4 linked regions of the Pelodiscus sinensis genome follow. The main gene of each other region encodes a partner of the protein of the gene in region 4 in a complex. Links are inferred from orthologs where the notes say so. Each region holds a gene or a part of one and is shown on either strand. Other genes may lie near its edges.

Region 1 (7,092 bases), on a different chromosome or scaffold from region 4:
AAATATTATGTATTAGCAGGGATCGACAAATAGTGTAATCTACTCGCTCGCCTGTGGCACCCCAGAAGAGCTGGCACGGAACAATCTGCGCATACATAAAGTGCAGAACTGTGCAGCTGGCGAGCAGAGCTCGCCGCCGCTCGGCGAGCCCTGTCTATTAGGGATATTAAATATCAGTTAATGGAATAGTCAAGTAACCTCATGAATTCTTATCAGTCAACTATTCTATAGTCCCTCATGGCGGGGCCAGCAGCCAATGTACTCTGACCTCACTCCCACGAAGACCCTTTTCATGTGGGAGCTGGTCCATGAGAGGAGCCAGTTTAAAAACCAGCTCCCTTGGGGACTGGCTGCCTGTTACCCTGTGCTGCTGCGTCTGATAAAAAAAAAGCAGCAGTGCAGGTGGCAGCAGCCCCTGTTTAGGGGATGGCCTGAGGTCCCAGACCCGCACAAGCCGGAACTGGGCTGGGCTACCTGCCTGCCTCCTAATACACTTTAAATGCAGATCCGCAGCAGGGGTAGGTCCTGAACCTGTCACAAGCCAGGCTGTTGGCCAGCCTGCTAAAAAATTTACTGGCAAGTGTGTGGAGGAGGAGGAAAAATGCATGTAGTTTATAGCATTAACCTATAAGCTTTTGCTTATCAGTTAATCAACTACACTTTTACATCCTTATTATGTATCTATAGTACTGTAGCACCTATAATTGCTAATGATGGATCTGAATCCTTCTATGCTAGCTGCTGTACATACAGAAAAAGACAGTCCATGTCCCAAATAATTTACAGTCTAAGACTCAAGTATAAGACAAGAGAAAACAGAGAAACACAGAGAGGTAATGAGACAATAATGATAGCATGATGGGTAGTGGCCTCAACTTATTAGCATGCTAAGCACTGTGAAGTTTCTTGTAGGCCCTGCAGCAAAGAATTTTGAAGAAGAGTAACAAGTTAGCTCTGCTGAAGTTTACAGGGATCAACTATGATTATAATTTAAAATATTGTGTTTTTCAAGGAATGTACCTGTCAGGTTTGTAGACATATAAAAACAACAAGTAGTCCTGGGGCACCTTAAAGACTAACAAAAATATATATAATATCATGAGCTTTTATAGGCAAAATCCACTTCTTCCAGCCAGGCTGCAGCAGCTCCCCATGGTGCGGAGGTCCTGGCCTTGCCAGAGCGGCCCTCCACCCGCAGGATCCCATTTAAGTGGATTTTGCCCATGAATGCTCATGATACTATATATATTTGTTAGTCTCTAAGATGTCACTGGACTACTTGGTTTTTTTTTAAGTTACAGACTAACACAACTATCACTCTGAAACGTATAAAAACAGTATTGTAAATTATTCCCGCCTGTCTTGAACCTTTAACTCCAGGTCTCTTGAAGCTAGGACAGGAATAAACATGCTAGACAGCAAAGATCACCACAAAAAACAAGTTTTGCTATGAAACACTTTGAAACAAAAGTTTAATTAGTTTTACGTTTAAAATATGGACAGGGCTTGTAGCTGAAATGTAAAAATGTTTAAGGGAAGAGGTTCAGAATATTCTAAACAAGGTAAAGATTAAAACTAAGCCTTTTCAATGGGACTTTGCAATCCAATCCCCTTGTTAGTAGCTACAGTGGTCCATCACTGGGCAGGTCTACAGAGGCTGGAAGAGTTACAGTGGCTGAACTGTTCAGCCCTAGGGAAACGTGTCCTATGCTATTCTAGATTGACCCCTGCTGGCCAATTTCAGATACGACTGATAGTCATATTAAAAGATTACTGAGATCACCAAAAATACTAGTATAGTAGTGCCTAAAGACCTCAACAGATCTCCCTGTAATAGACACTGTACAAAACCCATAGCAAGTGACAGTACTCCCTTCTTTTTGGATTCACAATCTGAAAAAAAAAGCCAATTCAACCTTGTCACTATTACAATAGAGACAAAAAGTAAAAAGCACACAACAGTAAACAGTTCCTACTTCTATGGGAGGAGGATGCACTGGCTGAACAGTTTACACACTGCAACTATATTTTAACTATGATATCAGGTTTGGACAGAGAGGCAAATGGAAATGGTGCATCATAGAGGCAAGATTACCAATTGTAGATGTTCCCCATATTGGAAAATCATTACTCATTTTTTATAATAAAATATTTTCTTTTCATATGCACTCGTGGGCAGCCAATTTCAAAGAGCAATGCTATTTTACAGCAGAAGTCAAAAGCGGGAGTCTGCCTGTTCTGACCAGCTACAGAAAAAGTGCAGCACGTTATACAAACGGTATATTCCTAGACCTTAGCAGATACAGCGAGGTGCTCCCCATCCGCAGCCACTTGCGCCTCTGCTAACTACACGCCGAGAACCAGAGTTCGTTCAAGGCGTCCTGATCCTTTAGCCCGACCCCAGGAACCTCAGCCATTGCTACGGCAGGGAGGTGTAGCCGGGGTCTGCTGCAGCACCCCCGCCCCGCTCCATAGCTGCGCGGGCGGCGAAGGGGACCGCGCCTCCCCGGGCCAACAGTCCCAGCGGCCTTCCCCGCCCGCTCGGGGCCGCGCCGAACGAGGCCGGTGGGGATCGGTGCCCGCTCCCCGGCAGGGCCCGGCGGAGGCTGGGGCTCGCGGTCAGAGTGGAGGCTCGGGGGCGCAGGGACGGCGGAGCCCGGCCGAGTCCCCTCCACCCGTACTATGGGCCGGCGGCGCTGGGGTCCAGGCCGCACTAGGCCCCAGGCATCGGGCCGCTCCTCCGGCCCGCTCCCCGTGGGGCCTCCCCGTGTCCGACTGCCCAGGCCACACCACGCACTGTCCGGGCCAGGCCCGGCCGGGCGGGGACGGGTATAAATACGGCTCCCTCCCTCTCCCCTCCTCACCATTGTGGTCCATGATTCGGCGCGGGGCAGCGTGGGAGCGGAAATCACCACGCCGGAAGGGCGGCACCGGAAGCGCCTGGACAGCGGAAGCGGAAGCCGTCGCCGCCAAGGGGCGGATGGTCAAGTAGGGGAGAACTGAACTAAGCCGAGACCCCGCGCTTAACGGGAGGGCTGCGGGCCTCGTTTCGGTGGGCAAAACGAATAAGCCCCACGTGAGCTACATCTCCCAGTATGCACCGCGGTCCCGGGCAGGGACTGTGGTTCCTAGCCCATCGCATGGGGGGGGGACTTTTTTTTTACTCTGGCATGCTGGGAGCTGTAGTCCCGTGACTTGCTCTCCGCCACGGGCCGCGCTTAGGGACTGCTGGCAGCCCGCAGAGAGTCTGAGAAGGTTCGCGCCCTGCGCGTCTCTGCGAGCGCCCCCCGGGGGGAGAGGAAGGGCTTGACCGACAGGCCCAGGCTGCAGCCCCCATCCCGGGAGGGAAGAATTGAGGCTAAATTGCAGGTGATGCCTGAGGGTATTTACGACATTTCTTTCCATGGCTCTGCTGCTCAGCTCTGGTGAGACAAGTCTCGGAGTTGTAGCCTTGCTAGTCTGTAAGCCTGCGTCTACTCCTTGCAGCTAATTTGGGCCATCGGAGGTATCCCAGAATAGCTGCCCTGCGTCTTAACGGCGTGCCTGTTATTTGGAAATATATAAGGGGCTCGCTATTCTGACGTCTTTTAACCCTTCTTCCACAAAGAAGAAGGGACATTTCGGAATAGCGAGTTATTTTGGTGCTGCGTATACAGTGCCAAGTTATAAGATAAGCTATTTCAACATTTACTCAGAATAAGATATGCAATTTGTGTAGCTCAAATTGTGTAGCTTATTTCACGCTGTGGGTGCAGTGTAGATGCACCCTAACTGGGGGCAGAGGCTGCGATGCCACTCAGCTGGGCGCTTTGCTTTGGCGAGGTGTGAGCCCTTAGGGTTCCACCAGTGGCTCTCTTAAGTTTCGTCTGTAACCACTTGATCAAGACACCAACTTTGGGGTCTGACTGACTGCAGACTCTCCTTCTATTGCATGGCTCTGGCAGCTTGTTCATTATGAAAAAAAGCAAAAGTTAAAAGACTAGCAGAGAGAGCGCTCCTCCCTCCTCTCTCCCCCTGCCGCCCCATGGCTATGCTGACCATATGTTCTGGGTTTTCCAGGACAGTCCCACATTTAAATCTGAACTGGTGGCCACGTAAACACTAAAAATGTGCTGGAAACAGCAGCGCAGCTAGAAGCAGCTGCGCACTGCTGTTTCCTCTCCCTCCTGCAGGAATGCAAGTATGCAGGGACCTTCCTAAAGATTTTTCCTTCTGCTCTAGAACCTAGCCAATATGAGCAGAAGGAGGCGGTGCCTGACTTCTGGTCCTCTGTTCTCTGGCAGACAGATAGTCCTGTTGGGAACCACCGGTAAAGCAGCAGCATGTAAGTGGCCCCACTTTCCCTCCCAGCCTGCCTTCACTGAGACCCCACTGCTGCTCTCCCCTTTAATTTTAGTAAGAGCCATGTGGGTCGTCTTAGATTTAAAAGGGCAGAACCACATAGTAACCTGGCTTCAGCTGAGCTGGTAATCAGATGATTCCTGGTTCTGCACAGAGCGCCGGCTTTGTCCTGCTTTACAAATCTAAGAGCCCTGTGGCTTTTCTTAAATCAGTGGTTCTCAAAGTGCAGCCCAGTGGTCCGCAGCTGGAGCTCAGCTAAGCTCCCTCCCCCCTCCACTGGGATAAAGGTGACTAGAGGGGCGCTGGCTGGGATTGTATATTTCAGCTCTTGCAAGCTGGTGCCAGGTTGGGCGCCTGAGGCAACGGGAGGCTGGGGCAAGTTATGGCTGTGAGCAGCGCTACAGACAGCGAGAGGCAATGCACAACTCCAGGAAGGGGGCATTGCAGGCTAGGCACCCTGCACCTGCCCATGTGGGGAGTTGTTGGCATCAGGTATCCACTGTGGCAGGAGCTGCCAGGGTTGTGTGGACTGCCTGCACGTGGGACTTGTCTCCCACGGCAACTTCTCTGGAGTCTTTTGTCCCAGCAGCAGGCAAGTAAAGTTTTAGCCTGATGCGGACTGCAGTGCCTTTGGTGCGGGGCCCCTTGTGGCCAGGCTGTGACAGACTTGACATCAGAGCAGCACCTGATGTGTGGACGGGCTCCACGTAGGCATGTGTGGGAGCCTGGCCTGGGTTCCATCGTGGTGCATTGACTCCCAATCCAAGCACCCACCTCACCCCTTATTGGGACCCACCAGCTTGGAGTGGAGTGGTTGAGATTGCAAATCACTGATAGGAATGTTACATTTAGATTAATTAAATAAGTGAATAGTCAATAGAATTTTCATCAACTATAGGAAGAGCAACAAGAATGATTAAAGGTCAGAGAACATGACCCATGAAAGAAGACTGAAAGAATTGGGCTTGTTTAGTTTGGAAAAGAGAAGATTGAGGGGGGACATGATAGCGGTTTTCAGGTATCTAAAAGGGTGTCACGAGGAGGAGGGAAAAAACTTGTTCTTCTTGGCCTCTGAAGATAGAACAAGAAGCATTGGGCTTAAACTGCAGCAAGGGAGGTTTAGGTTGGACATTAGGAAAAAGTTCCTAACTGTCAGAGTGGTTAAACACTGATATAAATTGCCTAGGGTGACTGTGGAATCTCCATCTGTGGAAATATTTAAGAGACATTTATCTAACCTACTATCAGGGATGGTCTAGAACAGTGGTTCTCAAGTTGTTTCAGTCCACGGACCACTAGGCCAATCAAAAATTTTTTGTGGACCACCTCATTTTTGAGACATGATAAAAAAGAGCAGACAAATATTTTGGTTTGAAACTTATTTCTTACTAACAGATTTTTGGATTCTCTTCTCACTGACAAGCTTTTCAATGTTTGGAGTGGTACTTGATAATGCACAATGAATATCGCTTTCCACTGCAAGCCGATTCCTCTGTTTGGACTTAACATGCAACAAACACAAAAATCCAGTCTCACACATATAAGTTGATGCAAATGGCAAAAGAAATCTGACTGCATGTGCTGACCGATTTGGGTAACTCCCGGTCACGCTGGCCCCAAACTTCTCTATAGTAGACTGCTGGTACATGTCTTGAGCTGCAAAATCATTTTTCAGATCCAAGAATTCCTCCTGCAGATCCTCTGAAACACTGTTAACATCTGTTGTAAATGGATTCCTGATGAAAGATAATCCATCCCTTGTCCTATCCACCTCCAAAAAGTATCGTTGGAATTCATCTCGTAGCTTCCGTAAATGATTGAGAGTTTGCATCCAACTGGCTTCCTTTTCCCCGACCATGGCATCCACATATGGAAATTAAATCAAATTATTGCCTTCAACTCTTACGATCCAGAGTTCCAATTTGTCAAGAAAAGCCTTGACGATGCATTGGTGAGAGAACAGATTTGCACCTTTCCCTTGCAGCTGAAGATTCGGTTTGTTCAAGATTCCAAAAATATCAACAAGATACACAAGTTCTAAATTTGATGGTGTCAGCACATTTCGGAATTCCTGTTTTCCTTGAGCCTAGAGAAATAAATCCAACTCCTCTCTCAACTGAAAAACTCTGTTGAGTACGTTCCCTGCTGACAACCACTGTAGAGAAGTGTAGAAAAGCAACACATCAAAGTCGGAACCCATGTCCAGGCAAAATCTTTTGAACAGCCTGGTGTTCAGCACTGATGATTTGATGCGATTCACCACTTTCACCAACCCTTTGAAAATGGTGTTCAGTTGATCAGGCAATGTTTTTTGATGCCAAAGCTTCCCTATGAATGAAACAATGAGCTCCGGTTACCATAGGAGCGTGCTGTTCACCAGCATTTGGAAGCCCGATCTTGAGCCCAGCATGGCAGGTGCACCATCAGTGGTGACACCCACAAGATTTACCGAATCCAGACCATGTACTTCAAAAAAATTGTTAACAATTTCTATCACATCCTGAGCCTTTGTGGTGGTATCAGGAGTCTTACAGAAACTCGTCTTTGAAGTCTCCCTCAACCATGTATCATACGAACACCAATAGCTGAGAGCACAATGCGACGTCGGTCGATTCATCCAATTGTATGGCAAACAATGGAGACTTCATTTCATCCACTACTTGTTCACTGATGTTCTGTGATATCTCATTTATCTGTCTCAATACTGTGTCATTAGAGACAGATATATCATTCAGCTTCCTTGCTGCTTCC
Region 2 (7,617 bases), on a different chromosome or scaffold from region 4:
GACAGGGCGGGCAGGGATGGTGTCCCAAACTTCTGTCTGCCAGAAGCTGTGAATGAAAGATAGGAACTGGATCACTTGAAGATTATCTGTTCTGTTCATTCCCTCTTAAGCACTGGCACTGGCCATTGCTGGAAGACAATACTAAGCTAGATGGACCTCTAGCGTAACCCAGTATGACCATTCTTGTGTTCCTAAGGAAGACTACCTCTTTGGGATTAGTTCTAAAGTCTGACATTAAAGTCTCCCCTGGTGAAGATTAAGGATTTTGCTATGTTATAATCACCATTTACATATGCCACAAATGTATTCAGTGTTCTAAAAAATGTGTGTTTCCATGTTCTAAAATGTTTAGAAGCTAAGGAACAAGAACAAGAGTTTTTGTTGTGTGTTTCTACAGTGCTGTTTCTGGGCACCCCATCCCCCTGTAATGGGTTAACTGATTAAATATTATGTTTAACCAGTTAACTAATAAAACAGGATTTTACATCCCTAGCCCTCATGTTCACTGCCGCTAGGCACTTGCCATAATGCTAACAGTAATGATAAACAACAACTATGAACTAAGCACACATTATCAAAAGCATGTGCACCAGAGACAGATCATTTGTGTGCCCCAAATTTGACTATTTGGCTGTATGTACAAATGGCAGGAGGTTGTATGCATAGGAATTGCTGCACTGGATCAGACCTGATCTCCACCTAGTTCAGTATTTCAACAGTGGCCAGTCTGAGATGTTTAGAGGAAAATGTAAGAACCTGCTGCAGGTAGATGTGGGGTAATCTATACCGGCATTCCTTGTAAAATGTGCCCTCAGGAGGGCTACTCAGGAGAGATTTGCCATCCCCCCAAGCGGATTGGTAGAGCACTCACAATCAGCAAGTTGTGTTTCTATTGGTGGTGCACATCCATACATGCCTCTGTGCATAACAAAATGTATTCCACTTATGCATGAAAAAATATTAGCGGGAACAGTGATCTACCACCTGATTTCTGACAGAGGCAGTGGGGGAAGAGGGAACAACTAGTTGAGTTCCTACTCAACTACCCACTAAGCATTTGCTTATCGGGTAGTCGACTAGTTGCTTACATCCCTAGTTGAGCAAATGTTTTCAGAGAACTGTACACTATGATTCTAGAACATAAGACTGGACACAGTGGATCAGATCAAAGGTCCATCAAGCCTAGTATCCTGTCCTTCAGCAATGGCCAATGCCAGGTGGTTCAGAAGGTATTAATAGGTAAATCATCAAGTGTCACCCATTCTCAACTTCTTGCAAACAGCATCTCAGGAACCTGTCCTGCCCTTTGTCACACAGTTTTGTAAGATTCATTTGTAACTCTTCACTAGCTGCTTTGGAATCATCCATCCTGAATAATTTTGTATTGTCTGCAAAATGCACCACATCACTGTTTACTCCTTTTTCCAGATCATTTACAAATACATTGAACAGCACTGGTCCCAATGCAGAATGATCCTTGGAAAATGCTGCTATTTACCTCTTTCCCCTGCAAAAAGACTAGGCACTTTCATTTTAACTCCAAGGAGACAGCAATATAAATGTCTAGTTTCTTTGAAGATAGTTAAATTCTCAATGACTTCCTGCAAATCCATTTTTGACAATTTCACTCTTGACATCATGATCACTTAAGATACATCTTTCTCCCACACAGTACCACCATGTGAGGTGACAATCACTGACAAAATTCTCTGCTGCAATACAAGTATTCTTTCAACACTGGGCTTCTATGGTAACAACATGGAGAATCTCTCTGTAAGGTCACCCTCTGAGACTGGGAACTTAGTACAATGAACCTTACACCTACTGTGCAATGGAACACACAGGACATAGGAGCTAAAGTGAATATTCCCGATCTCCCCATTAACTGCTGCAAGGCAGAGATGCACCACAGGCTCCAGAAAAGCACTCTTGTTCCTGACTTGTCCTCTCATCTTTCCTCAAACAACCTTAAAAATCTCGTTTTTAATTCCGCTCCCATTTTCCCCCTTCTCCTACACTTGACCTGCCAACTTTCTTCCGTATCAATTCCTATTCGTCATGCATCTGACGAAGTGGGTCTTTGCCCACGAAAGCTTATGCTCCTACACTTCAGTTAGTCTACAAGGTGCCACAGGACTCCTCGCCGCAATTCCTATTCTCTTACTCTGCGGGCTCCTCATTAACACCCGCCTGTTAATCGCCGCATTTCTACGTTGCCATCATCCCATGCACAAGAAGCCATAGAAGCGTTCGTCAAGCGTCTGGCCACGCCAGGGCTTCCCAGCGCGATACGGGGGAGTCTCCCTTGCATGCTGATGTCATGGTGGTCCAATCCTGAGACAGGGTCCGCTCGCCCCCTCACGCGCTGTCGTCGCTCTCCCCGTGTCACCGCGCTTCCTCCTACGGACTCTCCACGTCCTGGCCCTTTGCCGGCTCTGGAGCAGGCAGCATCAACCTGCCTGTCCTTGCACCTCCACAGCCCCCGCCCAGGCTCGCCCCCGTCTGCTCCCCCCGCCGCTGCCAGAGCCCAGCCCGCTCCACCCCAGCCTGGCTCCCCGCGCTCGCGGTCCCGCAGCGGGCCAGCCCAGGGGCAAGACTCTCCGCCTCCCGCTCTCGTTCTCTGGGGACAGGGGTGGCTCGGCGGGCCCCACCGGTACCTCCGCGCTCTGGTGCTTGAAAGTGTCTAAAAACAACAGCTCCGTTGCCGTGTCCGCCGCCATCTCTGCTCCGCAGCTGCGGAAGCATTTCCGGGTGAGCGCAAGCGCTTCCAGGGTCATTCGCGGCGCCTGCGCCCTCCACTCTCTCTCCCCAGGCTCAGCGGCGGGGCGCGAGCGCATGCGCACACGACTGCTGGGCGGAGGAGCGGAAGGAACGCTGGCGCTGGAGCCGCGGCTGACCCTGGGGGCGCTCGGTGCAGTGTCTCACACGAGCAGGGGGGGCCAAGGCTGGTGCGGGCCGGAGCCCCGGAAAAGTGTCAGCCGGGAAGCGCAGTCCCGAGCCGGGGCCAGTGGCGCCCTGTAAAGGGCGGGCTGCTGCAGGATCGCCGCACAGCTCGTTTCTGCACCTGTGCGGGCACAGCGCGGGGGTAGGGCCGGTGGTTCCCCCTCAGAAGAGCTACTGAGCCAGAAAGTGAGAGTTACGGAGCATGCTCAATAGCTCTGCGGAAGCCACTGCCCTTCCCCTGCCCACACGATGTAGAAGTTTCTGCTGACTACATTTTAGAGGGGGCTAAAGAGAGGACATGAAGTTTCATACCATTTCACAGATTTGTCTGATCTGCTGTCAGGGTTCACTGAACTTGTACTCCCATCCTTGTAACCCACTTGAATTATAGAGCTTCAGGGGGTTGCTGAGTTAGTCTGTTACAGGAAAAAAATGGCCTGGTAGCACTTTATAGACTAACAAAACACGTAGTGGGCTATGCCCACAAAAGCTCATGATACCATCAACATATTTTGTTAGTTTATAAAGTGCTACCAGACCCCTTGAATTATAGTTTTGCTCCTTTCCAAATATTATTTCTATTACTTATTACCCTGTGCAATGCCCATCACTGTACTATTTGTTTTTATTTTAATAGCTAATGTTCAAGTAGTATATTTAAGTAAACAGTAGTTACTGCTTTTAGCAATTCTTTGTGATTCTTATAGCACTTGCTACCTTTCATTTTTATTATTGAACTAGGTTCTTGATGAATGAGTCATTCAGACTAATGAAAGACCTCCCCCCCCCCCCCCCAAGTCTCTGCTTGAACCAAAGTCAATCAGAAGACAGGGGAGGGGGGAGACACACCTAACTCCTCTGAAAGCTCCCCTAGGCTCATTCACACCACTCCATGGCTGTGTCTAGACTGGCCAGTTTTTCCGGAAAATCAGCAGCTTTTCCGGAAAAACTTGCCAGCTGTCTACACTGGCCGCTTGAATTTCCGCAAAAGCACTGACTTCCTACTGTAAGAAATCAGTGCTTTTTGCAGAAATACTATGCTGCTCCCGTTCGGGCAAAAGTCCCTTTTGCACAAAAGTTTAGCGCAAAAGGGCCAGTGTACACAGCTGAGATTTGTTTTGCGCAAAAAAGCCCTGATCGCGAAAATGGTAATCAGGGCTTTTTTGCTCAAAAGCACATCTAGATTGGCCACGGACGCTTTATCGCAAAAAGTGCTTTTGTGGAAAAGCGTCCGTGCCAATCTAGACGCTCTTTTCCGCAAATGCTTTTAACTGAAAACGTTTCCGTTAAAAGCATTTGCGGAAAATCATGCCAGTCTAGACATAGCCCATTAGTATACAGCAGGGATCTGCAACCTACAGAATGTGTGCTGTAAGTGGCATGCGAGCTCATTTTTAGCGGTATGTGGAGACCACAGCAGGAGCGCAACCCTCTCTCATTGGAGTCCACGCAGTTGTGAGTCTTGGAGCACCAGCTCTGGCTTCCAGGTGCATGGGAGGGGGGGAGGTGAAGAAAGCCCTGACTTGCGTCCACCCCTTGTATCTCTGAGAGGCACCCCAGCTCCCCACCTGCCTCCAGCAGACATCAGAGACCCTACATCAGAGACCCTACACGGAGCTGGAACACACACACGCACTCGTGGGATTGAGGCCCCATCCCTGCATGCAAGTTGCTGCTGTTCCGCCTGCCCCAGTCTCACCGGCATGCAGAGAAGCTGGGGGAAGGGGAAGCAATGGGGTGGGGGAACCTGCTCCTCAGTACCCCCAGGTACCCCTGAGAGCTACCCTGGCTCCCTGCCCACTTGCATTGGGCAGCATAGGGACCCCAAACAGAGCCAAGACCTGCCTTCCCCACCCATGGAGGCCAGGGACAGGGATGAGGAGATAATGGGCAAATTGGAGACTGGGGTGTGATGGAGTCAGGCTCAGAGGGTTGGGGGGTTTTGGAGTAGTTTTTTGCTTCTCACTTGTGTGGTCCCCAACTGATAGTTCCTCACCCCTGACAAAGAAAACATTGAAATCTTGTGTTGGACATAAATTAATATTTTACTTTAATTTAAAATGAAGTTTGATAAACTAACATGAGAAAGTTAAAACGCTTATTCTGTTTAATAATTTAAATTAAACCATTCTCCCTAGCTGCAGCACTAGCAAAATGGCTTATGCATAATTATGTAATTAACGGTGGTTCACTGAAAGGTTTGCATTGAGCAAGGTGGTCCAGACCAAAAAGTTTGAGAACCACTGCACTAGCGGGGGAATGCTGCCCGGGCTGCAGCTCCAGGGCTGGGTGGTGGTGGCTGAGGGGAGAGGAAAACGCGTGGGGGGGTGCCCCTACCCCAAAGCCGTGTTGGCCCCTGGGATCCTGAGTCCCTAGAAGGAAAGCAAGGGTGTCATGAACTGGGACCCCCATGGGACCCCACCCCCAGCAGGGCTGGAAACCCTGGGGTAACCACCCTGCCCTGCCTCACCCATTTCCCTGAACCCCTCCCCCCGGGGTGGCCTGGGGGGAGGGGTTCAGGGAAATGGGCGAGGCAGCCCATGTTGGTGATCCAGCATCACACCTCACATAAGATTGGAGCCAGCACCGGCTTCCTGCAAGGGTGGGGGAAGCCCCGAGGCATCGCACCCATCTGGCTTCCAGGGAAGTGTGTGCATGCTGTTCCTCCCCTTCCCACAGGAAAAGCTGGAGCAGAGCCCAGGGCAGGAGATCAAGTGGGGCACATGGCGGAGAGAGCCCCTCCTGAGAGAGCTGCACAGGCCAAGGCAGGAAGGTTAAATCTTGGCACACTTCTTCGGAAAGGTTGCTGACCCTTGGTACAGAATGGAGAACAGAAAGTCCAACAAGAACTGCACTGAACTCTGGGACACAGAAAGCAGGGAAGCACTGCCTGATGGGAAATCCCTGCTCCAGATGCTAATAATCCCCACCCCCCCCCCCCCCCACACACACACACACACACACACACAGAGGCTACGTCTACACTGGCCCCTTTTCCGGAAGGGGCATGTAAATTTCAGCAGTCGTCGTAGGGAAATCCGCGGGGGATTTAAATATCCCCCGCGGCATTTAAATAAAAATGTCCGCCGCTTTTTTCCGGCTTTTAAAAAAGCCGGAAAAGAGCGTCTAGACTGGCCCCGATCCTCCGGAAAAAGTGCCCTTTTCCGGAGGGTCTTATTCTTACTTTGAAGTAAGAATAAGAGCCTCCGGAAAAGGGCACTTTTTCCGGAGGATCGGGGCCAGTCTAGACGCTCTTTTCCGGCTTTTTTAAAAGCCGGAAAAAAGCGGCGGACATTTTTATTTAAATGCCGCGGGGGATATTTAAATCCCCCGCGGATTTCCCTACGACGACTGCTGAAATTTACATGCCCCTTCCGGAAAAGGGGCCAGTGTAGACGAGCCCAGAGAGATTATCAGGCCAATTCTAGGAAAAAGTCCTCTATTGGTATCCAAAATACTGAAGCTGACTAATTGTATTATGAGGTCCCTCTACGGCAGAAAAGGAGAACCTGCTCACAGGCTACACCCCAGTTGCTCCCACTGGCAAGTACTCGCAGCTAGTGGGAGTGGTTGCCTACAAATGCAGAGCCATGTAGTGATAGAAATGTAGCCGTGTTAGTCTGGTGTAGCTGAAACAAAATCTGGTGTAGCTGAAACAAAAAACAGGACTATGTAGCACTTTAAAGACTAACAATATGGTTTATTAGGTGATGAGCTTTCGTGGGCCAGACCCACCGAGGAAGTGGGTCTGGGCCACGAAAGCTCATCACCTAATAAACCATTTTGTTAGTCTTTAAAGTGCTACATAGTCCTGTTTTTTGTTAGAGCCATGTAGAATAGGGATGTTTCAACTGTTAACTAATAAACATCAGCTTATTGGCTTCCATTACAGTTACATGTTTTTTCCTGGCTGCCAGCCCTGCTTCTGGGAAGATGGCTGTCACCCTGTGCTATGAGATCTGTAGTGTAAAGCTTATACTGCAGAGCCTACTGCACATCCAGCATCAAGAGCAGGGCCAATAGCTAGGAGTTGGTGTGCACTGGCTTGCAGCCCCCGACCCTATCCCCAGGTAGCTGGACACACTGCGGACTCTGCAGCATAAAGCTATAATCAGTAGCATTTTTAACAATTACATGCTTACATTTTAGCCGTTTTTTTACATCCCTAATATATAGCCATTTGCACACCTCCAGGAGATGCCCCAGGTAATCAGCCCCCTGTCCCATCTGCCCAGACCCCATAGACCCACACACTCCCAGACTCTGAATCTGTACCACCACAAGCCCGCTCCAGCACCCTAACATACTGCCTCAACCCCACACCCCAGCAGCCACCTACAGCACACTGAACCCCTTATTTTTGACCACACCTCAGAGCCTATGGTACCACAAAATCTACTAGCAACCCTGGGCCCCAGAAGAGTTAATCTGGACATGGGGGGAAGCCCTTAGCTAGGGGTGGGAAACCTCAGGCCTAGGGGCCGCCTGGGGCCCCCAGCTTTCCTGGATCTGACCCCCAAGGCTCAGGGCTCCCCCCCAGCATTGGGGAGCCCTTGCTGGCACTTCAGCCCACTAACACTCTACCACAGGGCTGGATCATAGGAAATATACTAGCCTGCCCTCCCTAGGCTCTGGTGTGCCAGGGGAATTTGGGGTGTGTAGTCTCCTCAGTCA
Region 3 (7,096 bases), on a different chromosome or scaffold from region 4:
CGGGCAGGGAGCAGGAGAGACACACACATATACACGCCCCTAGCACGGTCACACACCGGGCAGGGAGCAGGAGAGACACACACATATACACGCCCCTAGCACGGTCACACACCAGGCAGGGAGCAGGAGAGACACACACATATACACGCCCCTAGCACGGTCACACACCAGGCAGGGAGCAGGAGAGACACACACATATACACGCCCCTAGCACGGTCACACACCGGGCAGGGGGCAGGAGAGACACACACATATACACGCCCCTAGCACGGTCACACACCGGGCAGTGGGCAGGAGAGACACACACATATACACGCCCCTAGCACGGTCACACACCGGGCAGGGGGCAGGAGAGACACACACATATACACGCCCCTAGCACGGTCACACACCAGGCAGGGGGCAGGAGAGACACACACATATACACGCCCCTAGCACGGTCACACACCAGGCAGGGGGCAGGAGAGACACACACATATACACGCCCCTAGCACGGTCACACACCGGGCAGTGGGCAGGAGAGACACACACATATACACGCCCCTAGCACGGTCACACACCGGGCAGGGGGCAGGAGAGACACACACATATACACGCCCCTAGCACGGTCACACACCGGGCAGGGAGCAGGAGAGACACACATATACACGCCCCTAGCACGGTCACACACCGGGCAGGGGGCAGGAGAGACACACACATATACACGCCCCTAGCACGGTCACACACCGGCAGGGGGCAGGAGAGACACACACATATACACGCCCCTAGCACGGTCACACACCGGGCAGGGAGCAGGAGAGACACACACATATACACGCCCCTAGCACGGTCACACACCGGGCAGGGAGCAGGAGAGACACACACATATATACGCCCCTAGCACGGTCACACACCGGGCAGGGAGCAGGAGAGACACACACATATACACGCCCCTAGCACGGTCACACACCGGGCAGGGGGCAGGAGAGACACACACATATACACGCCCCTAGCACGGTCACACACCGGGCAGGGGGCAGGAGAGACACACACATATACACGCCCCTAGCACGGTCACACACCGGGCAGTGGGCAGGAGAGACACACACATATACACGCCCCTAGCACGGTCACACACCGGGCAGGGGGCAGGAGAGACACACACATATACACGCCCCTAGCACGGTCACACACCAGGCAGGGGGCAGGAGAGACACACACATATACACGCCCCTAGCACGGTCACACACCGGGCAGTGGGCAGGAGAGACACACACATATACACGCCCCTAGCACGGTCACACACCGGGCAGGGAGCAGGAGAGACACACACATATACACGCCCCTAGCACGGTCACACACCAGGCAGGGAGCAGGAGAGACACCCATATACACGCCCCTAGCACGGTCACACACCGGGCAGGGAGCAGGAGAGACACACATATACACGCCCCTAGCACGGTCACACACCGGGCAGGGGGCAGGAGAGACACACACATATACACGCCCCTAGCACGGTCACACACCGGCAGGGAGCAGGAGAGACACACACATATACACGCCCCTAGCACGGTCACACACCGGGCAGGGAGCAGGAGAGACACACACATATACAGGCCCCAGCACGGTCACACACCGGGCAGTGGGCAGGAGAGACACACACATATACACGCCCCTAGCACGGTCACACACCGGGCAGGGAGCAGGAGAGACACACACATATACACGCCCCTAGCACGGTCACACACCGGGCAGGGAGCAGGAGAGACACACACATATACACGCCCCTAGCACGGTCACACACCGGGCAGTGGGCAGGAGAGACACACACATATACACGCCCCTAGCACGGTCACACACCGGGCAGGGAGCAGGAGAGACACACACATATACACGCCCCTAGCACGGTCACACACCAGGCAGGGAACAGGAGAGACACCCATATACACGCCCCTAGCACGGTCACACACCAGGCAGGGAGCAGGAGAGACACACATATACACGCCCCTAGCACGGTCACACACCGGGCAGGGGGCAGGAGAGACACACACATATACACGCCCCTAGCACGGTCACACACCGGCAGGGAGCAGGAGAGACACACACATATACACGCCCCTAGCACGGTCACACACCGGGCAGGGAGCAGGAGAGACACACACATATACAGGCCCCAGCACGGTCACACACCGGGCAGTGGGCAGGAGAGACACACACATATACACGCCCCTAGCACGGTCACACACCGGGCAGGGAGCAGGAGAGACACACACATATACACGCCCCTAGCACGGTCACACACCAGGCAGGGAGCAGGAGAGACACCCATATACACGCCCCTAGCATGGTCACACACCGGGCAGGGAGCAGGAGAGACATACATATACACGCCCCTAGCACGGTCACACACCGGGCAGGGGGCAGGAGAGACACACACATATACACGCCCCTAGCACGGTCACACACCGGCAGGGAGCAGGAGAGACACACACATATACACGCCCCTAGCACGGTCACACACCGGGCAGGGAGCAGGAGAGACACACACATATACACGCCCCTAGCACGGTCACACACCGGGCAGGGGGCAGGAGAGACACACACATATACACGCCCCTAGCACGGTCACACACCGGGCAGGGAGCAGGAGAGACACACACATATACACGCCCCTAGCACGGTCACACACCGGGCAGGGGGCAGGAGAGAGACACACATATACATGCCCCTAGCACGGTCACACACCGGGCAGGGAGCAGGAGAGACACACACATATACACGCCCCTAGCACGGTCACACACCGGGCAGGGGGCAGGAGAGACACACACATATACACGCCCCTAGCACGGTCACACACCGGGCAGGGAGCAGGAGAGACACACACATATACACGCCCCTAGCACGGTCACACACCGGGCAGGGGGCAGGAGAGAGACACACACACATTCACATGCAGCAAGGGGTACATGTTTCCTGGGGGCGAGGATGCTGCACAGGCTCCCCAGCAAATTACAGATACCCCCTCTCCTGGCTTGGGTCTTTGCCCCTCCCTTGCCAGCTTCCCATAATGCTCCCCAGCTGCCTCTGGTGCAGGGCCCCTCCAGCCTTCCCTCTCCGTCCAACCCTGCTGCCCTTCTTGTGATTTGCCTCTCTTCCCCCCGACTAGACCCCCACATGCATCTGCCCTGTGGCCAGGGAGAGTGGCCCCCTGCCAGCCCCAGGCTAAAGTCAGGGCTGCTGGGGAGTTCTTTGCAGCTAGGGGAGGATTCGAGGCCAGCAGGTCTGGCAGAGTTGGGATGGGAAGCCGGCAATGCAGCGCTTCCCCGTTTCCCATTGGCAGCAGTGGCCCGCAGCGGGGGAAGTCGGGACCCCTGTGAGGGGGTGAACTGCAGAGGGGCAGGGGGGATGAGTGTGCTGTCACCCAGCCCTCTCCAGCTGCCCCCACAGGTGGCTGCATGTGGGGGAGGGGGCACTGTTTGGGGGCGCACAGCGCTGGAGGAAGAGCACATGGTGTCTATCAGCCCCCAGGATCGGGACCAGGCTGCTTCGTGCCAGGATGGGCCTGGCTTCACACCCTCTTGCCAGTGACCAAGATGGCCGCCTTCATGCGCCTGCAGGGATGGCAGTCAGGACCGTGCCAGGAACCAACATGGCCACCATGGCTTCGCAGTAGGGCGGTGGCAACACCCTCTGTTCCCTGCCTTCATGTGAGACACCACTGACGGGCTGCAGCCCCGGCGCCTAACCCCCAGCATGGCTGGCCGGAGTCCACCTACAGGGGACGCCTATGACGAGCCAGTGCCAGGAACAAAGATGGCTGCCAAGACGGCGCCTTTCGTCCCTAGCCACGGTGCCGGCCGCACTTTGCCAGAGCCAGACATGGCCGCCGTGGGAGGGCTTTAAAAGCAAGATGGCCGTCGTTTGCCAGTAAATGAAATGGCCGCCTTATTTAAAAAAAAAAAAAAAAGATAACCAAGATGGTGGCTTAAGATACCCTTAACCAAGATGGCTGCCTTGCGCACAACACCCGAAACCAAGATGGCGCCCGCTTGCCAACAGACGTTATGGCGGCGGCGCCTTCGCGGTGCGGGCAGAAACCGGAAGTGCGCACGTCTTATCCCCGTCCCCCCGGAGGCACTTCCGGCGGCTCGGGTTCGCGGCCCGGCGGCGCAGCATCGGGCAGGGCGGCGGGGCCGCACCATGTCGGACACGTGGAGCTCGATCCAGGCCCACAAGAAGCAGCTGGACTCGCTGCGGGAGCGGCTCCAGCGGCGGCGGAAGCAGGATCCGCTGGGTGGGTTGCGGGGGGTCAAAGGGCAGGGAGGGGTCGCGGGGTCAGAGGGCGCGAGTGATGCAGTGAGGTCAGGGGGCAGGAGCAGGGTCAAAGGGCGCGAAGGCAAGTGGGGTCAGTGGAGTTCAAAGGGCACACGGGGTGGGGGTCAAAGGGCACAAGGCCATTAGGAACCCGTAAGGGTTCAGAGGTCAAAGGGCACCGTGCAGTGGGGGGTGGGGTGTCTTTGAGGAGTTGGGGTCAAAGGGCACGGGGGCAGTGGGGACACAGGGTCAAAGGGCAAGCGGTGTGAGTGGGGGCCAGGGGCAGGACGCGGGGGAGGGGCAAAGGGCACCAGGTGGCGCGGGGGGTGGGAGCAGCGGCCCAGCAGGCTGCCTGGCGGGGGGGGGGGGTGGGAGCAGCGGCCCAGCAGGCTGCCTGGCGGGGGGGGGGGTGGGAGCAGCGGCCCAGCAGGCTGCCTGGCGGGGGGGGGGTGGGAGCAGCGGCCCAGCAGGCTGCCTGGTGCGGGGGGGGTGGGAGCAGCGGCCCAGCAGGCTGCCTGGTGCGGGGGGTGGGAGCAGCGGCCCAGCAGGCTGCCTGGTGGGGTGGGAGCAGCGGCCCAGCAGGCTGCCTGGTGGGGGGGGGGGGTGGGAGCAGCGGCCCAGCAGGCTGCCTGGCGGGGGGGGGTGGGAGCAGCGGCCCAGCAGGCTGCCTGGTGCGGGGGGTGGGAGCAGCGGCCCAGCAGGCTGCCTGGCGGGGGGGGGTGGGAGCAGCGGCCCAGCAGGCTGCCTGGTGCGGGGGGTGGGAGCAGCGGCCCAGCAGGCTGCCTGGTGGGGGGGGGGGGGGTGGGAGCAGCGGCCCAGCAGGCTGCCTGGTGCGGGGGGTGGGAGCAGCGGCCCAGCAGGCTGCCTGGTGGGGGGGGGGGGGGGGGTGGGAGCAGCGGCCCAGCAGGCTGCCTGGGGGGGGGGGTGGGAGCAGCGGCCCAGCAGGCTGCCTGGCGGGGGGGGGGGTGGGAGCAGCGGCCCAGCAGGCTGCCTGGTGCGGGGGGTGGGAGCAGCGGCCCAGCAGGCTGCCTGGTGGGGGGGGGGGTGGGAGCAGCGGCCCAGCAGGCTGCCTGGCGGGGGGGGGGGGGGGTGGGAGCAACGGCCCAGCAGGCTGCCTGGCCTCATCCTGTTTCTCTCCTCAGATCTCAGGAACCCAGAGCTGGTGTCACCCTTCCGCAGCGACAGTCCGGTGCCCGCAGCCCCCACGCCCAGCAATGCCGCCAGGGAGCTGGCCACGGACCCCGAGCTGGAGAAGAAGCTGCTGCAGCACCTCTCCGACCTGGGACTGGCTCTGCCCACTGATGCCCTCTCCATCTGCCTGGCCATCTCTACGGTGAGAGCCCAGCCCCATTCCCCTGCACCCCCACTGATGCTGCAGAGCCCTCTTCCCCATCTCCTGGGCTGTTCCCTCCTTCCCCAGCTCAGGAGATCCACTGACGTGCTAACCCCTCTCTCCCTCTCTGGGGGTAACTTGGGGGGTGACTCCACACTTGCCCTGCCCCACCACCCTGTGTGTCCTGCAGCCAGAGGCGCCCGTCACCCAGCGCAGCGTGGAGGGCCTTCTACAGAAGTTTGCGGCGCAGGAGTTGATCGAGGTGCGCCGGGGGCTGTTGCAGGACGATGAGGAGCAGCCCACGCTGGTCACTTACGCTGACCACTCCAAGCTCTCAGCCATGATGGGCGCCGTGGCAGAGCGCAAGGGCCCTGCAGAGCAGGGCAGCACTGGGGGCCAGAAGCGATGGGCAGAGCAGGAGACTGGGGGTGCTGTTTCTTCCCCCGCCGGCACTGCTCCCTCTGCCTCAGCCGCCTTGGAGCCGGCCAAGGAGCCGGCCAAGAAGTCTCGGAAGCAGGCATCCGACCTGGACCTGGAGATTGAGAGCCTGTTGAGCCAACAGTCCACCAAGGAGCAGCAGAGTAAGAAGGTACCAGCCGGACACCTGGGTCCCACCCTGGCCATTGGATGGGGATCCAATGCTGGGTCCTCTCCCTGCTCAGGTGGGAGGGCAGGGGGCACAGAGCCAGGGGACTTTCTTGCTCTGGCTCTACAGTGAGTGGGATCTAGAGCTGGGAGCCCAGTCTCCTGGGTTCTCTCCCAACACCTGGGAGCAGAGTGGGATGGGGGGGAAGGGAACCCCAGACTCCTGGGTTCTTCTCCTTGCTCTCCCACCCCCCAGGTGAGCCAGGAGATCCTGGAGCTGCTGAACACCACAACGGCCAAGGAGCAGTCGATCGTGGAGAAGTTCCGGTCGCGTGGCCGCGCCCAGGTGCAGGAGTTCTGTGACTATGGCACCAAGGAGGAGTGCGTGAAAGCCACGGACGCCGAGCGGCCCTGCCGCAAGCTGCACTTCAGGTTGGAGCCCAGAACACCTGGGTTCTCTGCAGCTCTGGGAAGGGGGGGGGGGGGCGTTGGTGGGTTAGAGCCGGAGCGCCCGGGTTCTCTGCAGCTCTGGGAAGGGGAGGGGGGGGGGCGTTGGTGGGTTAGAGCCGGAGCGCCTGGATTCTCTGCAGCTCTGGGAAGGGGGGGTTGGTGGGTTAGAGCCGGGGCGCCTGGATTCTCTGCAGCTCTGGGAAGGGGGGGGTTGGTGGGTTAGAGCCGGGGCGCCTGGATTCTCTGCAGCTCTGGGAAGGGGGGGGTTGGTGGGTTAGAGCCGGTTCTCTCCCATCTCTAGGAGGGAGTGGGGCTGGTGGGCTTGGGCCCTGGGCTCTGGGAGGGGAGAGGTCCAGCTGGGCGAAGGGCAGGGTCGATAACCCGGACACCTGGGTTCCACGTCCGTGTATCTTTCCCTTCCCCGCGTCTGCCCAG
Region 4 (7,722 bases):
GCCTTGGCTGTGGAGTCCAGAAACTGCTGGGAGAAGTCGCAGGGTGGAAAGGCGTGCAGGACCCCGCTGTTCTCCTTGTCTTTGTTGCCCCCCACAGGGAGGCTGATCACTCCGGCAGCCTGCTTTTGCTTTAGATAGGACACGAGGTTCCTGAGTGGCCTCTGTGTGGAGGTGGTGGCAGCCTCAGTGGCTCCAGATGAGGAGCGGTTGTCCGAGGTGCCAGGCACAGCCAAGAGAATGGCATAACCATTGGGCCCTGCCACTTTGATACGGCGCGTGACCTCATCCAGCTTGGGCTGGTCCAGGCGGAGACGTTGGGTGATCTTGAGCTGAGCCACTTTGCCACCAGTTGCTCCCTCTACCAGGAGGCTGCTGGCTACACTGAGATCCCCCTGAAGAAGGTGCATGTTGGACGGGAAGTTACTATTCTTCAGGAGGAGCATGCCCTGCCAAGCCAGGCATAGTTTGGGGGCCCCAGCAGCCTGCGATGTTCCATCTTGCTGCTGCTGCTTCTGGGGCGGAGGTTTGAGCCGGGATCCTCCACCACTGCCACCTTCCGTGGTACGCTCATCCTTTTTGGCTGGGCTTTTACATTCCTGGGCAACAGCTGCTGTGGAGGTGCGGTGTTTCCGCTCTCTTTCAGCAGAGTTTTTGCGGTCACGCTTTTCACTCAGACCTCTTTCAAGACTGCCCCTGCGTGGCTCCCGGATAGGTGATGGCCGATCCAACAGGAGCAAACGGGAGGATGAGCGTTCTGTGTCACTAGTGTAGCGTTCCCTGCTCCCACCAAGATCAGGACTGCGGTCTGGGGGGGAGGCTGTGGCCAAACAATGTCGCTTACGGGACGCAGATGAACGCTCACTATCTGGAGAGCGGTCTAAGTGCCGGCCACCATCCTCTGCCAATCTTCGCTTCCTGGGTTGGTCTCTACTGCTGCTGCTGCCGCCACCCAGTTCCCTTTCCCCTCGGTCCCGCTCCAAGGACCAGCCATCCCGCCGGCGCTCCAGACTTTCCAGTGGGTCGTAGGCAGCGGCTCGATTGCTCCTGTCCCGTACAGGAGGTGGCGGTGGCACCCATTCCGCCTCAGGATAGAGATCTCTGTCGCGGTCTCTATAGAGCAGTGGTGGTGTCCTGTCACGGGCCCCCCGAAGTGGGTCTGGGGGAGCCCCACGGTGAGCCCCAAAAGCAGCTGCCTCTGCAACTAGCTCATAGTGGGCAGGTGGTGGTAGGGTCAGTGGCTGCAGGTAGGGTTGCTGGTAGCGATGCTCCGTGTCAGCAAAGTCCACACGTAGGCGGCGGTCTGGCCCACCCAAGGGGAAGCCACGCATGTGGGCACAAGCAGCCTGTGCTGCGTCCAGGCTCTCATATTGGATGTATGCCCATGAATCACCTTTACGATAATCAATAGTGCGAATGGTGCCAAAACGGTCAAACTCCCGTGCCAGGGCAGCCAGTGGCACCCAGGGCCCAAGGCCACCCACCCAAAGCCTGGTGGTAGGGGTGGCTTTGCCATAACCAATTTTGATAGGGTTACGTAGCAGCACCTTTCCAGACATGGCTAGCTTGGCACGGTGCGCCATGTCCAGGTTCTCAAATTTGAGGAAGCCATAGGTACTGGTCTGGCCACGACCTGGACGTTTGATATCCACTTCTGTGATGACCCCGAAGCGGTCGAAGGCCCGGCGCAGGTCCGACTCGCTCACCGTGATGTCCAGGTTGCCCAGGAACAAAGTACGGTTGGCTCTCTGATCATCCTCAGGACTGATCTCCTCCTCCCCGGCAACTCCAGCACCTCCTCCTCCTCCACGGAAACCCCCAGCTGCAGCCACTCCAGCCACTCGCTCCAACCCATAGGCCGGCCGCACGCGGGTATCATAAAAAGCCCCATAGTCCCGTTCCCTCTCCAACTCCCTGGGCAGGGGGGGCGGTGGGGGCAGGCGGCCCAGCGCGAGTTGCTGCAGCCGGTAGTCTCGATAGCCCAGGCCCCCTCCTCCACCCGCCGGCGACAGCGCCCTCTGGGTTGCTCCAGCCGCAGGGTGCCTGACAGCTGCGGCCGCGGCCGCCGCCACGCCCACGGCCGCGGCCCCGTAGGGCGAATGAGAATCCTTGTCCAGCAGGGCCGGGGAGCGGCTGCTGCGCCGCCGGCTGCTGCCCCCGACGTAGACCGCTTCGATCTTGAGCGGCCGGTCGTAGAGCACCAGGCGGCCGCGGGCGTGCTTGGCGGCGCGGGCGTCCTCCGGCCGGCGGAAATTGACGAAGGCCACGCGCTCGTCGCTGGCGCCGGTGCCCGGCGGGAGGCGGCTGATCTTGACGCTCACGTCGCCGAAGCGCTTGAACTCGTGGAAGAGCCCGTCCTCCACCGCCTCGTCGCTCAGCGCCGAGCCCAGCTCGCTGATCTTCAGCGTCTTGTACTCGCCGCTCCCGCCGCCCGACTCGGAGGCGGGGGCGGGCGGCGCGCGGGACTCGCCCCGGCTGCCGCTGCTGCGCGACGACTCCGCGTTCTTGCTGCTGCTGTAGCCGTGGCGGCCGGAGCTGGGCGCCGCCCCCGCCTCGTACTCGCGGCTGCCGGCCCGGCTGGCCTTGTCCAGGTGCAGGCCCCGCCGGCTGCTGCCCTCGCCCGAGCCGCCCGCCGCCTTGCCCCCGTTGCTGCCGCCGGAGCCGCCGGGCTTCTTGCTGCTCCGCTCGCCCCGCGCCGAGGAGGAGGAGGCGGCCGAGTCCTCGCCGCCGCCCCGCGACCGCTTGGCCTTGGCCGGGGAGCGCTCCTTGCCCTTCATGGCGGCGGGGCCCCGCGGGACGGCTTGCCTGACTAACCGCCGCGCTCACACACCCGCCGCCATCTTGGAACCCGCCGCGGAAATGAGCCCCGCCCCCCGCTCGCCCATTGGACAGTTAAATCGCCCCCCGCGCCCTTCATTGGAGAGGGAGGCTGTCGGTAGGCCGTGGCTTCGGCCGTCGACAGCGGAAGGCCCGCCCGCCAAGCAGCAGAGTGAGGTTGTGATTGGCAGGGAGGGCTGTCTCCCGTACAGATTCCCTCGCGCTCACGGCTCAGGAACGGACGAACCACCTCGACTGCTCTGATTGGTCGGCTACGGAACCGCTGCTTTCTGATTGGACAGTCAACCTGTCAATCCTAACGGTTCTCGCGGTCTCGCTGCCCCCGCGCTGTAATTTCCTTGGTCAGGTGGCACAGTCTCCTTTCTGTGACTGGGGGAGCTGACTATCATTTCTAACGGTTCTACTTGCGGCACCAGCGTCCCGCCCCATCTTTTGCTATTGGCCGGAGCGCGCTTAACCCCTCGCGTTTGATTAGATGCGGGTTCCGTCAATCAACGATTCCTCGCGTGCCACAGTCATCCCGCCCCCGTCGCTCTCATTGGTCACCCAAAGGCTTTCCCTAGCGATCTGATTGGATGAAGGCCACGTCTCTCCCATCCAAGCGCGGGCAGCAGCCAGCCCCACCCCCAGATCCTCATTGGCCGATTGAAATCTTCCGCAACATCTGATTGGATTGAAAGGGCTGGTCCGTGGATAGGCTGCTGGAGGAGTCAGTCACGCTAAGGCCGGCAGGCGGGCCGCAAAGGGTTCGCGCACGTGGTTTTGCTGAGCCCGGTAGGGTCCCTAGATCGGGCCCGCCGGCCGGTTTGGGGGAGCTCCGGATCGGGCCCGCCGGCCGGTTTGGGGGAGCTCCGGATCGGGCCCGCCGGCCGGTTTGGGGGAGCTCCGGATCGGGCCCGCCGGCCGGTTTGGGGGAGCTCAGGATCGGGCCCGCTGGCCGGTTTGGGGGAGCTCCGGATCGGGCCCGCCGGCCGGTTTGGGGGGCTCCGGATCGGCCCGCTGGCCGGTTTGGGGGAGCTCCGGATCGGGCCCGCCGGCCGGTTTGGGGGAGCTCCGGATCGGGCCCGCCGGCCGGTTTGGGGGAGCTCCGGATCGGGCCCGCTGGCCGGTTTGGGGGAGCTCCGGATCGGGCCCGCCGGCCGGTTTGGGGGGCTCCGGATCGGCCCGCTGGCCGGTTTGGGGGAGCTCCGGATCGGGCCCGCTGGCCGGTTTGGGGGAGCTCCGGATCGGGCCCGCCGGCCGGTTTGGGGGGCTCCGGATCGGCCCGCTGGCCGGTTTGGGGGAGCTCCGGATCGGGCCCGCCGGCCGGTTTGGGGGAGCTCCGGATCGGGCCCGCCGGCCGGTTTGGGGGGCTCCGGATCGGGCCCGCCGGCCGGTTTGGGGGAGCTCCGGATCGGGCCCGGGCGGACCCTGTGATCTCTGATCCCTGCGGGCTCAGTCTGATGGCCGGGGGATGCGACCCTCTGGGCACTGAATGGGTTTGGGTTTGTAACCCGGCAATAACCCGGACTAGGTCTGGTATTAGGGGTGGGAAGCAAACAGGGTTGATTCGAAATGGAAGGTCCCTTTGAACTGGTGTTTGTGTTTTGCAAACCCCACAGGGATCTGGTCAATAGCTGCCTTTGGTTTTAATTGAGAAACTTCAAAGTGAGAGATTTGTGGTGTGAGGGGTTGGATCACGTTGCAGTGGGGGAGGTCTGGACTGGACTCTAGGAAACACTGTTTCCCTAGGCGGGTGGGGAAGCGCTGGGCTGGGTTCCCTAAGGAGGGGGTAGAATCTCCATCCCTAGAGGTTAAGTCCCATCTTGACAAAGCCCTGGCTAGGATGATTGAGTTGGGGTTGGCCCTGCTGTGGGCAGGGGGCTGGACCTGATGCCTGCTGAGGTCTCTGCCCACCCCAGGGATTCTATGATTTTAGTATCACAGAGAGTTCCTTGGGGTTGTCACCCCATGTCCTGATCAAGCCACTGAGCCTGCCTTCCTGCTCTCTGAGGCTCTCCCCCATACTGTGCTCCTAGGCCAAAAGCACTGGTCTCCCCCGGCCAAGGCACAGAGTTGAGGTAACCACTCCCCAGCAGACATGAAGCAGCTCAGTCCTGGGGGAGCTCAGCTATATAGGGCAGTTGGCAACACCCTATATATAACATCTTATAAATTCACCCTTTACCAATGGAAGTGGTTGCCCTCCCCCACATAATAATGATTTACACTGGGTTTGATAATAAACAAAAGCATTTTATGTTATTAAGTATAAGAGGTAGGATTTAAGTGACTGCAAGTGAAAATAAATCAGTTACTGAGCCAAAATAATCAAAACATGCCTTCTAATCCTAATACACTAGGAAACTTGTTACATGCAAATTCTTACCCGAACATTTGTTCCAATCTCTTTCACAAGATTGGCAGCCTTCTAGCTTGGGCCCGATCCTTCTCTTCAGTCTTAGATGTTTCCAGCAGCCATCTTAGATGGCGAAACAGCGGTCTCCTGGTGCCTAGAGACTCTCTCTCTTGTTTGTTCCCCCTTCCAGCCTCTTTACCCATGGCAGGAATTCTTTGTGCTCAGTTCAAATTTATCTCACCTTGAAAAAAGAGGAAAAAGTGGCAGATCCAAAATGGGTCCCTGCATCAGAGGGCCTAGTCACATGTCTTCGTAAGTCCAATCACAGTTTGGGCTTCCAGGGAAAACAAAACCATTCACAGGACTTGCGCACCGAGCCATTAAGCTCCTAAAGTATCACTAATGGCTTTTCCTGAAATGCCTGAGCTAATAAAACAGGTTCCTTCTTATTCTAACTTGTCATGCAAGAATGATACATGCACACACAGAGGAGATACAGATTCAAGGGATCATGGGCCCTTGAATGATAGGTCACATGATGACCCATTTTGCATGATTTTCATAAAGCATGGGGGCGGGGATGACAAGTGGGACCCACTGTTTCCCACCAGTGGTTTCAGTCCCTGCCCTGAGGAGTGACTGACAAGCCAGATAGGGTGGGAGAAATGCAGAGCAGCTCCAAGCAGATCAATGGGAGTCAAGCCACGAAGGCCCTTTCTTACCCAGGAGAAGCCCAGAGGGATAGCTAAGTACGGTGCCCTGCTCTGATTGTCAGTGCTAATGCACCAGTGTGAATGCACTCTGCCGACAGGAACATTGTGTGACCATGCACAGACGATGGAATTATGCTGTTTTTGACTGTCAGTGTAACTTTCATTGACAAAATTGTGTCGTATAGACAAGGCCTTAGTGAAAGTGAAATGTTTCTGCTTTAACCTGCAGAGTATTTGCTTTTTATGGGTTTAAATTACACCCTACTCTTGATTCAGGCTAGTTTTTGCAGGGTCTCTTCTTTTATCATAGTACTGGAAGAGAAAAAGGAAAGGAACCAAAGGGAAACCAAGTGTGGTTTACTGATCCTTCGAAGTCAAGATCTGACCAAACACTACTCAACTCTAGAGCTCAATGAAGCCTTTTCATCAAGCAGAAAGAAAGAAAATGTTTAGTTCTGTTGAAAAATAAAAAAAACTGTGCAAACATTAAAAAAGCTTTGAGGTTCTTTTGCATTTTCTTCCTGGAAGATATATACATTTTTTCAACAAGTTCTCAACTCAGTTTACCCACTTAAGAAATAGGTCTGATAGCACTTACCTATCTCACTGTGATATTACAAGCCTTAATGAATGGTGATAAAGCACCTTAATAATACTTAAAGACAGTGTTTTTCATCTCCCTGCCCTTGCTGAGGGGGTGGACCTACTATTGTGTCTCCTGTTTTACAGAAATGAAAAGTGAGGTACTAAGCGGAGAAATAATTTGCTAGAGATCACAGAGCAAGTCTATGGCAAACTCAGGGTTAGAACTCAAATCTTCTGACTCCCTGTTTTGGCCTCTAGACCCTCTAGCCAAATGAAATGCTCATAATAGTTAAAGGAAATAGACTGGTCATTTTAAAATATCCTGGTCCCACCCAGTGCTGGGAATCTGCATGCTACAGCAAAGTGTTAATCAGGAGAAGCAGAAAGTGAAACTGACCAGAGACCGAGAGTGAAACTGAGCAGTTTTGTTTCACAGATCAACCTGATGTTGTACAAACAGGCAAACAAAGTGTGTTACAACAAGGGAAAGGCAACGTTTTCATAATCCCCAGGAGAAAGAAAGAGAATTAATTTGCTAAAGCAGAATTTCTATCCAATTAGTCCTAAAAAGTCTGAAATATCCCGTTCTGCTTTCCAGAGCAGCAAGTCTGATGTCACTTACTGTGTTTTTAGCTGAAACATCCATCAATCCATGTGTCACGTATCCATGGAGATAAAATGGCTCCCTTGCTGAGCTCAGTACAAACCAGAGGTGGAACTGGAAGGAGACTTTTTTTCCTAACAGTCCACTGGATGGCGTCTCTCCCCATCTTTATCGAGCTCTTTTCAAAGGAGCTGGTATCCCACAACCGGCATTCCTCAACCAGGGGCTGGATTTCAAATGGCTGGGAGTTAATAACCCCAATGTCTTAGTCTTCTTAGCGTATGTACAACATGCGTTAGGTGGCAAGTGACCAGAGTTCTGCACCACATTTGGTCTGATGGTTGGATCATTAGCTTCCCCAGTGTGGGCTGGGTATCAACAGGAAGAGTAAGGTGAGCACTGGCTGATCCATGCCCCCTAATGTGTTAGTGGGGGCCCAGGAGTGATCAGAAGTGTATACTGGAAGTGTAAATCTGACAAAGTGTCTGTCTATGGAAATTAAGATCTCAAAATTATCTTTAGATGTGTATCAGAGACAGGCCTACATATAATTAATTGCACAGTCATAGGGCAGATAGGCTTATACAGATATAAGTATTCCAGGGTATAGGCGAGACAGGCTCACAACAGATTAATATATACAGGGG

Evidence for each region.
Region 1: RBM15 (region 4) and CBLL1 share a complex: the UniProt entries of both Homo sapiens proteins name them as parts of the WMM complex. The link is inferred for Pelodiscus sinensis from reciprocal best matches to the Homo sapiens genes RBM15 and CBLL1.
Region 2: RBM15 (region 4) and VIRMA share a complex: the UniProt entries of both Homo sapiens proteins name them as parts of the WMM complex. The link is inferred for Pelodiscus sinensis from reciprocal best matches to the Homo sapiens genes RBM15 and VIRMA.
Region 3: RBM15 (region 4) and METTL3 share a complex: the UniProt entries of both Homo sapiens proteins name them as parts of the WMM complex. The link is inferred for Pelodiscus sinensis from reciprocal best matches to the Homo sapiens genes RBM15 and METTL3.

What each region holds. Positions count from the first base shown.
Region 1 is NC_134711.1:27,033,785-27,040,876, reverse strand, and holds the start of CBLL1 (E3 ubiquitin-protein ligase Hakai), read right to left. Parts: upstream 3,004-7,092; 5' UTR 2,878-3,003; coding exon of another isoform or gene 2,865-2,877; intron 1-2,864. UniProt on the Homo sapiens protein: E3 ubiquitin-protein ligase that mediates ubiquitination of several tyrosine-phosphorylated Src substrates, including CDH1, CTTN and DOK1. Targets CDH1 for endocytosis and degradation.
Region 2 is NC_134712.1:40,435,188-40,442,804, reverse strand, and holds the start of VIRMA (protein virilizer homolog), read right to left. Parts: upstream 3,013-7,617; 5' UTR 2,838-3,012; coding exon 2,658-2,837; intron 1-2,657. UniProt on the Homo sapiens protein: Associated component of the WMM complex, a complex that mediates N6-methyladenosine (m6A) methylation of RNAs, a modification that plays a role in the efficiency of mRNA splicing and RNA processing.
Region 3 is NC_134740.1:757,116-764,211, forward strand, and holds the start of METTL3 (N(6)-adenosine-methyltransferase catalytic subunit METTL3), read left to right. Parts: upstream 1-4,093; 5' UTR 4,094-4,179; coding exon 4,180-4,273; intron 4,274-5,435; coding exon 5,436-5,626; intron 5,627-5,816; coding exon 5,817-6,215; intron 6,216-6,467; coding exon 6,468-6,643; intron 6,644-7,096. UniProt on the Homo sapiens protein: The METTL3-METTL14 heterodimer forms a N6-methyltransferase complex that methylates adenosine residues at the N(6) position of some RNAs and regulates various processes such as the circadian clock, differentiation of embryonic and hematopoietic stem cells, cortical neurogenesis, response to DNA damage, differentiation of T-cells and primary miRNA processing.
Region 4 is NC_134737.1:17,765,870-17,773,591, forward strand, and holds the start of RBM15 (RNA-binding protein 15), read right to left. Parts: upstream 3,013-7,722; 5' UTR 2,775-3,012; coding exon 1-2,774. UniProt on the Homo sapiens protein: RNA-binding protein that acts as a key regulator of N6-methyladenosine (m6A) methylation of RNAs, thereby regulating different processes, such as hematopoietic cell homeostasis, alternative splicing of mRNAs and X chromosome inactivation mediated by Xist RNA.